Linked DNA regions of Drosophila melanogaster. The protein of the gene in region 2 interacts with the protein of the main gene of each other region in a biochemical or structural test. Each region holds a gene or a part of one and is shown on either strand. Other genes may lie near its edges.

Region 1 (7,233 bases), on a different chromosome or scaffold from region 2:
ACATCAATTACGCCGCCCAAACTATTCACGCGATTAGCCGCTTTCTCTAGTTATTGGATAATAGCCCCAAACGGTGGTAAGGTATAGTAAGGGGTTCCGGGCTTCCAGGGTTCCGGGGTTCCGGGGTATCTGGGCTCCAAGAGGCTTACGCTGAATTGAATTAACGGCCACGTTGTCTGGTCCGGACTGTGGCGTTGTAAATTTCCACCACTGCATCTGATAAACTCGACATGGAGGCCCTCGGAACGTTTCTGCCCGGTAGACGAATCAGAATCGGCATCGGAGGAGGATCTGGGCGAGAAGTGGTGGCCAGGAGGAGGAGGCAGCACCCACACGGCCAACAGAAGACCCAGACGTAGAGTTATTTCAACGAAACAAGAAATGTAAAGCAGACAGGGACAGACAAAACGACTCAGTTTGGCACTGGGAGAAAATAGTAGTGAGTCCTTCAATAAATTCTTTGATACAAAATATCCTTAAGAAAAGGAGTAGCTACAAAATGTATCTGCCTGTCTTGATTGTGTTTCGTATTTACCTGCATATTTCCATGCCATTTGCTTGATATTTCAAATAAAACCAGCTTCAATGGAACGTCAAATGTATTTTAGTTTACTGAACAAAATAACTCCGACCTGAAGTCGTAAATAACAAATGTATGATATCACATATTTAAATATGATTGATATGAATGGGAAAAAAAGTGCATATATGAATTGGACCTTCCTTTTCGACAATTTATGACCATTTTGAAATGTGCTGATTGAGAGGATTACTTATATTTTACAGATTTAATTGGTTTGCCCAGGCTGTTTTCCTATAAATTTATCCTTTTTCAAATAATTAAATAATTTTGATATATTCCATCTCGCTTTTCCTTTGACACATTTTAATGTTTGTTCCTCGGGCGTTGAAAAATGCTTGTATATTTCACTCATATTTCAGTTGCTAAGTAAACAAAAATGGCATCAGATCTGTTTTTTTTTTTTCACTTCTGACACGGTAATAATTTGAATTTGATTTATTTGTATTTATTTATTTGAACTTGCCCAGTCATATATATATTTCTATATTTCTACAATAAATATATTATTTGGAAATCCTTCATTCATGCATTTGCATAGTTGCTCTTGGGGCTAATTGGAAATCCGGGATTTACTTACTAATAAAAGCGCTTTGACTGCAATAAAATACTTTCAAATGGCCAAGCGGAATATACTTTTAAAATCCAAGGGTCCTTTTTAGCAGAAAGCCGTCGATTTTTTTTTTGGCTGTGTGATGGGGGAGTTTATTGCTGCGCTCTGCGCTTCTTGGCACTGCTTGGGTCTGGTCTTAAAAGCGAAAAGCCATTTGTATTCATTTGAAATTAATTTAGCATTCATTCAAGGCAGCGGAAGCCCCTGCAATCCCCCCTTCAGCACCCCAATTGGCCCCGCCCCTGGGACAGCTCCTCCCCCCTTCCGTCTTCACCCTTCTCCCCTTTTTCCCAGTGAGCAATAAATGGCATCGGCGAGCTAAGCAATGGATAAATACGTGTACGTGGCATACATTTCACGGGCGACGACGTCTGGGGGCCATGCCCACTTTCGCTTATCGATAAGCAGTTGAAGACATAGCTCCATTCTAACACCCCCTACCCACCATCCCTCTCCCAATCCTGGAAAGAAAAAACCCCATCTCCCGTGGAGCTGGCAATTGAAACTACCACAATGCACGGGCAACGACAAGGCCTGCTCCACTAATTTTAACAAATTAATTGGCAACAATAAATTCGCTGGCGAAAAGGTGAACAGATAGGATCTCAGCGGGTGGGGCCTATGGCCATAGGCCATGGGTGTGGGCATCCAAGGGGGTGGATAGATTGCTCCACTAATTTGATTTCTTGAATGGCCCAGCAAGCGTTAAGTATCGCACTGGAGTCAATATAAGTCTGCTACCGAGTAGAGTGAGGATTTAATGAACTGTAGACTCCTTATATTTGATCGCGGTATGCTTATGCAATATCTTCAGTAAGTTATAGGATCATGGCCATAAAATTCAAAGATTTGATGCCTTTTTTTAATCGCCTTAAAAACTCAATTTGTAATAGTATCTCAAAGAGTTCGCCTAATCCAACTGATTATTATCAGATTTGATATTAAATCATAATTCTATAATTATCCAGATCGCTTCTTCCTGTGTTCCGTTTGACCTGATTGCGTGCTAACTTAATTATAGAAATTGTAAACTGCTTAGTGCGGCTCTGCCTCCGTTCTGGTCAACTCGATGTATTCCCATTTCAATTGTTTGGTAATGGAATTCTATAATCAAATGTCAACTCGTGGCAACACACACTCACACACACACACACACGCACAATTGGGAGGGTCAAAACAACTTTAATCATTCGTAATGGCCGCTAGGTGGCGTGTCAATTACAGGGCCATTGTCTGTCAATTTTCTGTTGCATTGGCTCGCTGTTTCTCTACATTGCTATCTCATTCGCTCGCCAGCCACCTATCTCTGTCCGTTTGAGTGCGTCTGTCTCTTTCGCCGGCGCCGTGCTCATTTGCATTGCGATGTTTTGAGGCCTACAGGGCATTCCCCAGTCAAGCACACTCGACTTTATCGGCCTTCGACTGGGTGGGCATTTTATTTATGAGCTCGTAAGGCATGCGTTGAAATGCCCGTTCCGAGTTTTCTGAATACGGATGGGTTGCGGGGGTAGTGGGTGTACTTGCGGGTGTACTGGGGAAGGATGGTTGAGAGGGAGGTTGGGGGGTGGCTACGCTTTCGACAGCCACATTTGTGGCCATAACACGCAACATTTGACATGGTCGGCGCAGCAACGACGACGAGGTACAGGTGTTGGTCGTACCCCCAAACACCCATAGACCCCATAAGCCCCTTAAACCCTCTTATAGCCCTTATAGCGCTTTTAGCCTACAGCCTATACCACGTTTTCTAGTCCCTTAACGAAGCCACACAAATCTCTCTCGAGTGCGACGCATGGACATAAACTGAAATTGGCCTATAACTGTCTGTTCAATTGTTTTTGCGCGAATGGAGGGGGCGATGGGTGCGGTACGGTTCGATGGCGTATAAACTAAAAGGATTCCCATGGCTATACCTATGGCTAAACCAATACCTATATATTGCGGTAAAAATCACATTTACATGGCCCGGGTGTAAATCATTCATGTGCGAGAAAGACACAAAAAAGTGCGGGTTGCCTGTGCCCCGAAATGTAGACTATATTAATATGCCAAAACGAAGGCGTCTCTACTACGAATATTCATTTGTACGTGACTATGGAGCATATTAGGTTCGTCTGGCCACGATTTCCACCACTCGGATTTCGATTCGGCACGACTGTTACCAGTCGGTCTCGCATTGAGGCAGGTTGTGCTAATAACCCAGATAGTACAGATGGCGAAAGCCCAAGAGAGAGAGAGAGAGAGAGAGCGAGGGAGAAAGAGAGACTGCGACGGAGGAAGGATGGAGAGCAAAACGATCCGGCTTGGTGGTTAGCTGGAAAACCAAAGTACGACCGAGTCGTGTTGAAAAACGGAAAGCGACGAAATAAAGAAAAGAAAATAAACCCTTGCCTTAAAATAAAACCGCTCATCAGGCATGCAAAGAAAGCGACATCAAATGGATGGCGAATTAATATTTGATATGCTCTGACTTTCGGGGAAATCCTCTCGCATCCACAGAGGTCCTTTTTGTCGTGCGCCTGCGTGGGAGAGCACCTTTCGGAGTCTCGCGATTCGGAGTCGCGGTGCAAGTTCCTTGCGCTCGCCGAGATGGAATCGAAATCAGTTCCAGCACGCGAATCCTGATGCAAGGATGCCCGTGAACGCTGCTCCGTTGTTGCCGTCGGATAAATCACTCATACGGGAAGGGAAGCACCGGGAAAAGGGAAAGTGCTAGCAGAAGCAGCAGGAGCAGCAACACCATCGCCACATAGCATTGTGCCACATTTAAAAATGAAAACAGACGAAGGAATGAAGTGAAGGCAGAAGCCAAAAGCCGTTTAATAACTAAATCCCACGGACCCATCGTTGGTCACGTTCTGAGACGGATACACAAAATGCCTCTCTCCGCGTATCCTTCGAACTTGTGTGTGTGTGCGTCAGTAACTGTGACTGTGTCTGTGTGCTTCCCTCTGTCTCAGTGTAAGTGTGCATACCTATAGGGCTCTGGCTGGCACCTAATGTGGCCAACATACACATACGCACTTTGCCGACTAAACGAATATAATAATACAAAGCACACGTCCTTGTCGCTCAACTCGCTGTCATCGTGTGCGTGCGTGTCCGTGGATCCATGTGTCCATGTGTCCACTTCCGCCGAACGGATATATTTTCGAAATCCGCGCTATTAAGTAAGCCAGTAAGCCAGACCAGAAATAAACCTGTGTTTGCGATTGGGCCACTTTTTTGACCATTGTTGAACCGAATTGATTGGTGAACTGTGACGTTGGTGAATTGTTGCGGCATTGTTGAATGCCAATCGTTATTGTGCAACTGTTGAATGAGCCATGCCAGCAGGCCCGCCTAATTATTGCGCATTGCGCAACCGAATGTCAAAGCCAAGATCGAGTGTAACGCAGTTGTAAAATCACAGAGCTCAAGGATTTTGCCCGTTTGGATTACGCAGAGGATGACGGTGGTGTCATTTGGAAGTCATTGCCGAGACCCGTAAGTGAAGGAATTTAATTTAATGCGGCACAAGGACGAGCTGGGGAAAAACAAACAATAAATAGGGTCCTGGCTGACTGGCCAAACTGCGGTTGCCCTTTGTCCGCCGTTTCCGTTTGACAGGCCTGAAAAGTTAGGCAAAAGAACAACAGAATAATGTTGTTCCCGGGCAGGCAACGCAAAACAAAAAACTTTTGTTTAATTTCCATGGAGAGTCGAAAGGGCGCCGGCATACGGGGAACTGTTCGGCTAGGCGATAATTCCGCTGTAATAGCTGCGAAAAAATGAAGCCCGCCGTGCCAACCTCTTTTATTATTATATTCCCGGGAAAAAAAAACAAGGAAAACCAGGCACCAGGCAACCGAAAAGCCGTCGGCCGAAAGGCCAAAAGTGACCAAAACAAATGGCTTGGTCCTAGGAGCGGACTGCTGACCCTTGGAGTCACGCAGCTAATTGGACTGACAACAAATGTATATTTTTGAGTAATGACCGGGATTATGAAAGACCGCTCTAGGACCCTACCCTTACTGCCCCCTTTCGCCACGAGCTGACTGATTACCGAGTTTGAGTCATAAATAATGAGAGGGACACCCACGACGAGGACTCGGGGGTATCCTGGCACCAGACTGACAAATTCGCCAAAGGGAAGTCGACTGGGAAAGGAAGTCTGTGAAAGCAATATCGAGTTTATCCCGATAAAACTATATAGTTGACAAGGTCGTTTAGCCAGGAGCTCAGCTTGGGGAAACTTTTTAATTTCATCCTTCACGAAGTTTTCGACTTTTGCCTTAGTTTTCCATTCGGTGCGGGGGTATACCCCCTCCACCTCCCTCACACACCATCCTTTTGAGTTCCCCTTGTAATTGCTTTACCCACATTGCAATGCAATATGACTGACTCCCTGCTTTTGGGTCGTGGAAAGTAATCCCCCCCCCCCCACCAACGACCATGAATGCATTTTCTGTGGCGAATCTGAAACGCATTTTCTTGCCCTGGCAACCAAGTCGAAACCAAAAGCTCAGGCTACATCCGGCATTAACCTCATTAACCCGACATTCAGCACAACCGTTTCCCATTTCCCATTACACTGGCCTGCGATGGCTCTTGTTCTGTTAATTGGAATTGTGGTGCAGTGAGGTCCATAAATATGCACACATAAGTCGCCTTGAATCAATAATTTATGCTTAATTGTTGGATTCTGGAAGAGATCCACAGCATAATGGTGTGCGCAATTGGTTCGATTGAATCTGTTTGGGATATTTTGGCTCGTAATATATATAATATAATTATATATTCTTGGCAATAGGAAAACGCAGCTGCCATTTGCCAGGCAACCAGTAATTTGCTGACCCAGTTATAAAGCTAATTTCAACTCGTTTCTATATTAATTAAATTAGATAGCCATAGAATGGTTGCACTTTTTTCAATAAACAAGCCAATTTTGTTTCAGCTTTAATTGAATATTTTGCCGTGCGTAATTGCAGTGCGTAGTTGTGGGAAAAATATTCTTAATAGTTGGTTTTGAATGGAAAACTAGCAACTGAATTTTGTAATTTTGTTTGAATTATATCGAATAATCATATAATTTGCATGAATTTTACTTTATTATTCATTGCTCATTTAATATTTAACGCTGTATTATGGCTAAATTGTGGCACATGTATATATATATATATTAAGTTTATTGTTATTATTCAATCGTTTGGCCATCTCGGAGTAATGAAACGCACTGTACTAAACAATTGCCGTGATGGGTAGGCAATTTTCCGGCCGACGAGAATGCCATATTGACTTGACCCACTCCGCCCAGTAGTAACCGCCCCCCATCATATTCCGGATATATATCTGGCTTTCATCATTTGCCCGGCAAATTACTTTGCCATTCCCCCAGTTATTTTCCAGGCGTGTCCTTCGCCACTGGTACCATAAAAAAGAGCCCTGGTAATAATATTTCCTCCTTTGCAGATTATTAAACCTTAAACCGTAAACGGAGCAAATACAACAGCCGGCAGGAGCGGAGGATTCCTCATCGCCCTCATCGAAGTAGCTAGCAGCCGTAGTAGCAGTCCGAGTGGAGAGCATAAAACATGTGGACAACGGACTGCCCGAGAGCGTTGAAAGCGATTTGCTTGGTGCCGCTGTGGCTGCTCCTCTTCCTCGGTGGGTATTCCTCCATGAAATTGCACGGCGAAAAAATGTAGGTGTAATCTGTTCAGTAATAGGCAATGCAAAAGGAAAAAGGATCAAAGCCGCAGACGGTTTATAGCCTCATAAATCGCTGAGAGTGAATGTAGTTAGTTTAAAAATGTACAGGCTTTTAAGTGCTCTTCACTGTCCTATTCATTTTGTAATAAAAGAGGTATTACTATGTTCCTATAAGTTTATTAACAACTAAAGTAGTTTATATCAGCAAGCGGAAATTAAAGTTAAATATGCTATTTAAGCATTCAAGATCATTCGAATTTGTCAATGTGTCAATGGTCGATTGCACATCTATTTTAATTAAGCCCATTGACACTGATGACAAGAACCGATATGATAGGCTTGATTTAAG
Region 2 (7,233 bases):
TCTTCTTTTTTTCATTTTAAAGGTTTAACCAAAAATGTAGAGATTTTTCGGTCTACTGGCACAATCCGCACTCCAGAAGATTCCATGTTGCATGCAGCCTTTGCTGGAGGCCTCATAATTGGTTTTCACTGCAGTCGGGTGCCAAAAACAGGAGCTGAGCCAGCAGCCAAACAGTCAACAGCGTGGGCATCAGCAAAATTAACTGCAGTCAGGTGGGTATCCTTGGACAAAGCTCCGCTCAATTGGTGAGGAGGAAGCTGCTGTTGTTGTGGCTATTGCATCCACCGCGTGATGCCAGCTAATGAAAATGACCGCCACAGATGACTGTGCTATTATGGCTAGAGCGGGGAATGGCGAATCAAAAATGGAAAGGTCCTGGGCTTACTTTCGCTCATCAATAAGCTCCATTACGTATACGCCGGGTTGGTTTCGCCCATTGCTCAGCCGACAAACAAACTCAGAGCTGTCTGTCAACCAAGTAAGGGGCTGCATTCGACCTCTGCCAATTGAGCGTTTGCGAATTTGTTTGCGCCATGGACCCCAGCATCTCAGTGCAATCAGGCGGAATATATCCCGCTTTGAGCTGGCTGCTTTTGGAATGATAGAAAGTGTTGCCTTCAAGGGAGCCTCAGTTCCTTTCTCTGCATCGTGAATTCTTTTTTCCAGCCCCCTGCTTTGCATACGCGCCACCCACTGGGCTCTTTGGTGGCCTTATTAAGTTGGCGCCTCTATGCAACTGCCATCAGCCGGGAAAGTTTTTCGCATACCTTCGATGGTCTCGGTCCTTTTTATACGCGGTATATTACCCAGTTAGCTGAATATTCTTGAGTTATATACGAAAATAATAAGAAGCAAACATGATTTATCTCAGATATTTCTGGATGTATTGTCTCAATGCGTTACTGCTGTATTTTTTTGCACTTCAACTACAATTATTTTGATATCACTTTCATACAAGCAAGTAAGACTCATTCTGATTTGTTTAGCCAATTGGGTCGATTGAGCAGGGTAACTTTTGATCGACTCCAGTTGAAAGCTCTTCTACATATTTTCACTCGCTCCAGTTTGTTGGGGTTGTCATCGTTGCAACTTCATTGTCAAAGTTGGCAAAGAGTCTTGAAGGGAAAGTTGGAGTGGGAAACTACAAAGAAATGCACAAAAACTGCGTTGTGCAAATACGGAGAACGAGAGTGGCGAAAAACGATGCAACGGTCTGCCAGTTGGGCGCTAATTATATGTAAATAGCTGGAATGAAACCGCCGCTCGAGGTGCCAGATAATTGGCCCTCATGCAACTGCCAAGTATAGTTTACAGCCGAAGTGATCAAGGGAAACAGTCTGCGAAGGAAAAATGCTCAAATTGTCGAGGCGTGAAGGACGACTCTTCTTTACGGTAAAGCTTTTGGCATGACCCCTTAGGAAGAATTAGAGAAATTTAAATGTGGCTACTTTGAGTGCCAAGGACTGTGCCCTAACTTGTTACTTAACGTGTCCTAGGCAATGACTGTTAGCTTAATTTACGGAAACTTAAATGGTACGCAATGCAATAGCAATTAGCTCAAATGCTAGATGAAATTCCTTTGCATTTAGGTCATTAGAGAAGAAAAATTTCATAACACTTCTCGGTGTGCGTGAGAAGGCATTTTCCCCCTTGGCCACTTCTTCTCCCCGGAGACAACATTCAGGACATAGAACAGCATTACAAAATTTCCCCAAAAAATTCGTAGAAATGCCAAAATAAACGAGTGGGATCGCTGGAATGAGATGGCGCAAGGTAAGGATGTGGAGGATGCTACCCACATGAGCGACAGTAACCAACACGTACAAAACGCATAAACATTCTTGCCTAAGTGAGTTTGTACATAAATTTCGAGCAACTTGCGTTGCAGGATGCGTTACAAGGAGACGATTTTGTGTGGGTCTCAGGATCTGTTTAAAGGGAATGAAGGGGGAGACTGTAGCAGTCTACTGTGAGTAGAGCTAAACTTACGCAAAAATCCATGGGAAACCAAGTGAGTTTTGAAGTTTAGACGGTTGGCTCAGTTTCGGTATCCTAATTTATTTATGCAGCCCCTGGCAAATGCAACTTTACTTAGGATGGATATCACTCAGCTATTCATCGTGTTAGCGTCAGTGCTTATTCGAAGGTATTCAGATGCAATTGTTTTATGTTCGAAAAATATCTTAACACTAAAAAATTTGTGCTACTAGCGTTTACTTTTCACCTTTGAATTTAGAAGAAAGCTAAGAATTTATGAAGATTTCCTACCAAATAACTAAATAGCATTTATTATTTTTATGACATCAAATTTTTAACTACCCAACTATTTAATACCAATTACCGACTACTGGTGTGTGCAACTTGAAAGCTGGAATTGAAATTATTCAACGAATCATGGCAATATCATTGGCTGTTTGCATTATGCAAGCATACCCGGTCCTTTGATGCTTGATGGCATTTCCCGAGCACCTACACACACGCAGCCGGAAAAGAAGCAACTTTAGTAGCATATTTCACGGCGCTGCGTCCGAAGAGAGAACGCTCTAAAGAGCACCGCTTGCCGAAGAGAGAAGCCTTGGGTAAGAGAGACCGAAGCGCACATTACTGACCTACATTAAGTAAAAATTTATTTATGCCGGCTGCCAAATTGGTTCCCCAAAGCATTGGCAGGCCCCGCTGTCCCCTGGTCCCTGGCTTTATGACTATGACGGATATGATTGTTGGTCGGAGTTTCCCTTTCCCCTCCTCGTACTTGCCCACTATTACTGCCTTTGTGGTTGTTGGCTTAAATAATAATGGCTTGTAATTTGCATAAATAATGTTTGATTTTTGCATTGATGAGGGAAGAGTGTGTTCCGCGTGTGTGTGTGTATTTGGGGAATTTTAAATGATTGAAAGCTCGGTCATCATTGGGGAATGCCGGGCTAGATGGCACGAAATTTTTGCATTTAAATCGATAAATTAGTGGAAAGAGCTCTAAAAATCAGTATGCCAGGATATGAGTCGTTTGGTCTATTTGGAAGTTGCATTGTAGATTTAAGCCCACCAAATAGGAAGAATAGTTTGCTGCTATAAGGGTCGACTTCGATGCCCCAACAATGGTTTCTTATCCTGCCACAGCACTGTTAACCAGCTAACAGAGCTCTGGCTCTGTTGCTCTCTAACGGGACCTGGTTCTCTTTGCCTTTGGAGTTCGGCTCGCTTCGGCAAGTTCGCGAGTGCTTGCCGAACTCCACGAACTCCGAGCCGAAGAGCGCTCGGTAGTCGACAGTCGTGACGAATGACGGCGATTATCGCCCTTCGAGGACTTTGTGTAATCAGTGCGTCCTGCTAAGCAAATTAGTTTAGTATGGTTTTAGTGCGCAACGCTGACGGTCGCACCAGTTCGCAGCTCTTAACACGTTGGTGTCGAAAGTCGACGCGCTCGCGTTTCGTCCCTCGCTTGAATTGAATGCCGCGAGTCGCGAGTGCCTGCGATATCATCGGAGGACAATAGCTCAGCACTGTACGTAAGCGGAAGGAATGGCCAGAATTAAATAAATAAATAAGTGCAAGACACAACCGGAGACGCTGGCTGCCAACTTCAATTTGGTACTTCATTTTTCACAGCCCGCTTAACGCAAATTGTGCCGGTCCTGGCTCCTTGCTGGGTACTAAGGTCCTGGTGCATACCCGTGCATTCTCCGCTCCCCTCCCCTGTTGATTGCATTCTTGGCGGCAAGTCGAGCGTGGCTCATTAAATGGCTGGCGAAAAAAAATGAAAGAGGAGTGCCGACTTGCGGAAAAACAATCACAGCATTTCTCTCGGCTGGTAGAGCCTGCAAACGGCATTTATAGAAGGGCCCTAGCGGCGCTGGGAAATTGTGGTATTTTATTCGTTATTTCACTTTGACTGTCACGCCAATTGAATTAATTCCACCGAGGAATTTAGGATTTAATTTGACATTTAATTATTGCAATTAAAAGTGGCCCGCAAAGCGCAGCATCAACAAAAAATGTCGTTTCAAAACAGGATTATGATCAAACAGAACGCAACGAAATTATGAAATTTTGTTTGAAAAAAAATGAATTACTTTCGAAAGTGGTTGACAACATAAAGCCGTGTCACATTACAGCAGCGGTTTGTTATAAAACGCGTAATAAATCTAAGAAAAAAGGAAAAAAGCTTTTATATTGATGAAAGGAAAACTTAAACAACAGGGTCAGAAAAACAATTATTGTATACAATAAAGGTTAACATTAATGGCAAAAGGATACATATATATATATATTTATATATATATATTTGGTTTTTATGCCTTAATAACTTGTTAGCTCTGCCCAATTCTATGATTTGAAACCCCTAGGATATTTTGTCTTTGTATTTTGTATATTAGTATCCTAAAATATCCTTCTCGTTATCAACATAAACAAAATAGCGATTTATTATTATTACAATTCCTTTGACTTCTAGCATTGCCATTGCTAGCTAAAAATATTCAAGCCTGAATGATGTGCTTAACAAATTAAGTTCCATGCAACATGATTTCTTAAGCAACGTTTATCCTTTATTATATGCATTCACTACTTTCGTATATACACATATAATTCAGAAAAGTTTGCGAAACGTCGAATACTTGGTATCAGCAAACTTTTTTGATAACTTTACTTCACTTGTAGCCCGAAAACAGTTTGAAGTGCAGGACGAAAATCACCCAAGGACGAGCTTTAACTAAATTATTGGGAGCTCGCGTCAAGTGTCAGACTTTGGGGGGGAAAATGGAATAACAGTTTGCCTTTGTTGTGTCTACAAATTTGTGGGGCGCTGTTCGTCAGCGCTAATGAATAGGTGGGGAGTTTTGTGCACAATTATCAAATAAAACGGGTAGCCGACCGCACAATTACACACAATATTTTCGCACACGCACCCAAAACGGAAGCCGTATAAACAACATGAATATGAAATTTAGCTGCTAGAAGCATATACATGCACATACATACTATAGATGCACAGCTCGTTGTGGATGGCCGTCCAATAAGCGACATAAAATATGCGAGCACTCACACACACTAGCGCACGCGAGCGAACACTAACACATGCATATGCACATGCGGATGAAGCGCCCGCAGCGAGTGCGGGAAATATTTTATGCACTTTATGCGGCCTGGACGGCGCTTGCTGCTGGGGATCGCTAATTAGGCAATATGCACTTGATTGTGTTATAATCATTAAAACCGGAAATGCATGGCCAACCCACAAAACACAAACGAGCGCAAACGCTTGGCCACACACACACGCGCACACATACGAATATGCGTGAATGCTTTCAGGTGGCTGCAATAGTTCACAGCATACTTTCGCACAGGGCCAAAAAGTGTTTTACCAAAGTTTCGAAATTTCATCACAAGAGTAAATGGGGTCGGTCTCACCATCCTGTCCGATTTTGTTAGTTTCCCATTTCACTCTGATTAATTATTTGGTGAAAAATAATTAAGTCTTTGAGGGGCTGGCAAGGCGTCGGAAAAGCAGCTCGTTCTCCCACAAAATGACGGAAAGTCACATCAATGGCTCGGCGGAAACGGAAGTGCGGGAAAGCAAACACGTGTCGGAAAAATGTCTGCTTGCAACAATGTGTGCTCGTACAAGTATATGTGTGCCAATGCACTTCCGCACACCCACACACCCGCACAGCAGGCGCCCATGTTGCATATGTAAAGCGGCTTGTAAGCTGGCCAATTTTTTATGCATTTATGCATTTTCCCCCGCTGCAGCTGCATCCCGTCCCCCGCTGACCGTTTTTTTTATTAAAGTTGCCCGTTAAGAAAAGCCCAGAAACCGCAGCAACAAACAGGAACGCCCACTGTGCGAACTGCATCGCACGTCCAAACGCCTTTTTGTAGGTTAATCAAATGCAAGACGGGGAAAATGCACAAGCTGCATGTCAGTGGGAAATGCTGCTTGTGGCTAGTTAGTGTGAGCGGGCGTTGGAGCAAGCATTTTGCCATCTTTTTGTGTACGCATTTCGCATGGCTTGTTATATTAAAAGAAATTTCCCAGCTGAGAAGAGACAAGGCAAGGAAAAACAAGCAAGCATCATGGCAACTGACAGCCAAGATGGACGGCTCTGTGATTTGATTTTTATTTCGAGCGATGCACAACAGCAGCTGGCAGTCAGTGGACAGATGAATTATGGCAAATGATGTAAACGCTCCCAGTGGATGTGGCTCTAATTAAACCGAGGGCCAAGAAGCACTCATAGCCCAAGTACTCATTTTCTCCTTTTACAATAGATAAATGACGTTTCGCAATTTCTCAAAAGTTTCGACTACCCTTGCTGGTTGCCTAAAACCAGAAAAAAATATTTCCTTTACTTGCATATTTATTGATTTTCAAGCCACAAGAATTTTTCGTAACGAATAGCTGTAAGTCTTCATAATAGGATGACCAAGAAATGTCGCGTCGAAAAGATAAATATTCCAATTCATCTGCAATCCGAGCAGATTTTGATTGGCACCAAACGCTATAAAAGTTTAAGCTTAATTTAATACATTTTCTGCATATTACCAGCGACAGTCACCAAGCTGCAAAAAAAAAGGAAAAGCACAAAATCCCCACCACCATTTCAGGTGACATAAACAAGCCTTTTATTTGGCATTCTGCTGCAGTTTTTGACACGCGAAAGTAGCAAAACGCTTTCAAAAAGAGAATGTCAAATAAAACACGGAAAGAATGCGGATAAGAGGAAAATTCACAAAGAAAAGAAATTGAGGAAAATATGGATGCAGACGGAACTGAGCGAAAAACTAGCTTTGGGTATATGTATATTAAGCACGAAAAGCTGTCACTCGCGATTGTCTCGACTATTGGATACCTACTTTTTTGTTAGCTTATTGGCGAATAACTTATTAATTCTTATGCGTTTCACAAGTAGCATAAGTACAATAGCAATACTAAACTGGATTTTCCTGTCTCAGTGCTGGCAAAGCTTAATATGATGGGTATGCTTAAATATGCATTGCAAAAATGTAAGCTGCTTTCATTATACCTTTTATACCCTTTGCACAATATACCCCACTCTTTACGATTGGCGGGCACAAAAATGCAGAGTCCAGAGGGAGATATCATTTATTATTTCATTTCCGAAGCAAGACAGCGCAAAAGCCCGAGACAGCAGGAATGCCGTGGATTAGCAACTGTCATTGACAGTTGGAAATCATAGACGCCATTTGGCTGGCTGCAAATTGCTGGCCGCA

The links.
Region 1: the proteins of DIP-theta (region 2) and dpr4 form a complex in vitro, tested with the Drosophila melanogaster proteins (one study listed by BioGRID).

What each region holds. Positions count from the first base shown.
Region 1 is NT_033777.3:11,539,513-11,546,745, reverse strand, and holds the start of dpr4 (defective proboscis extension response 4), read left to right. Parts: upstream 1-3,796; 5' UTR 3,797-4,679; intron 4,680-6,644; 5' UTR 6,645-6,766; coding exon 6,767-6,839; intron 6,840-7,233.
Region 2 is NT_033779.5:5,654,667-5,661,899, reverse strand, and holds the start of DIP-theta (Dpr-interacting protein theta), read left to right. Parts: upstream 1-3,339; 5' UTR 3,340-3,505; intron 3,506-7,233.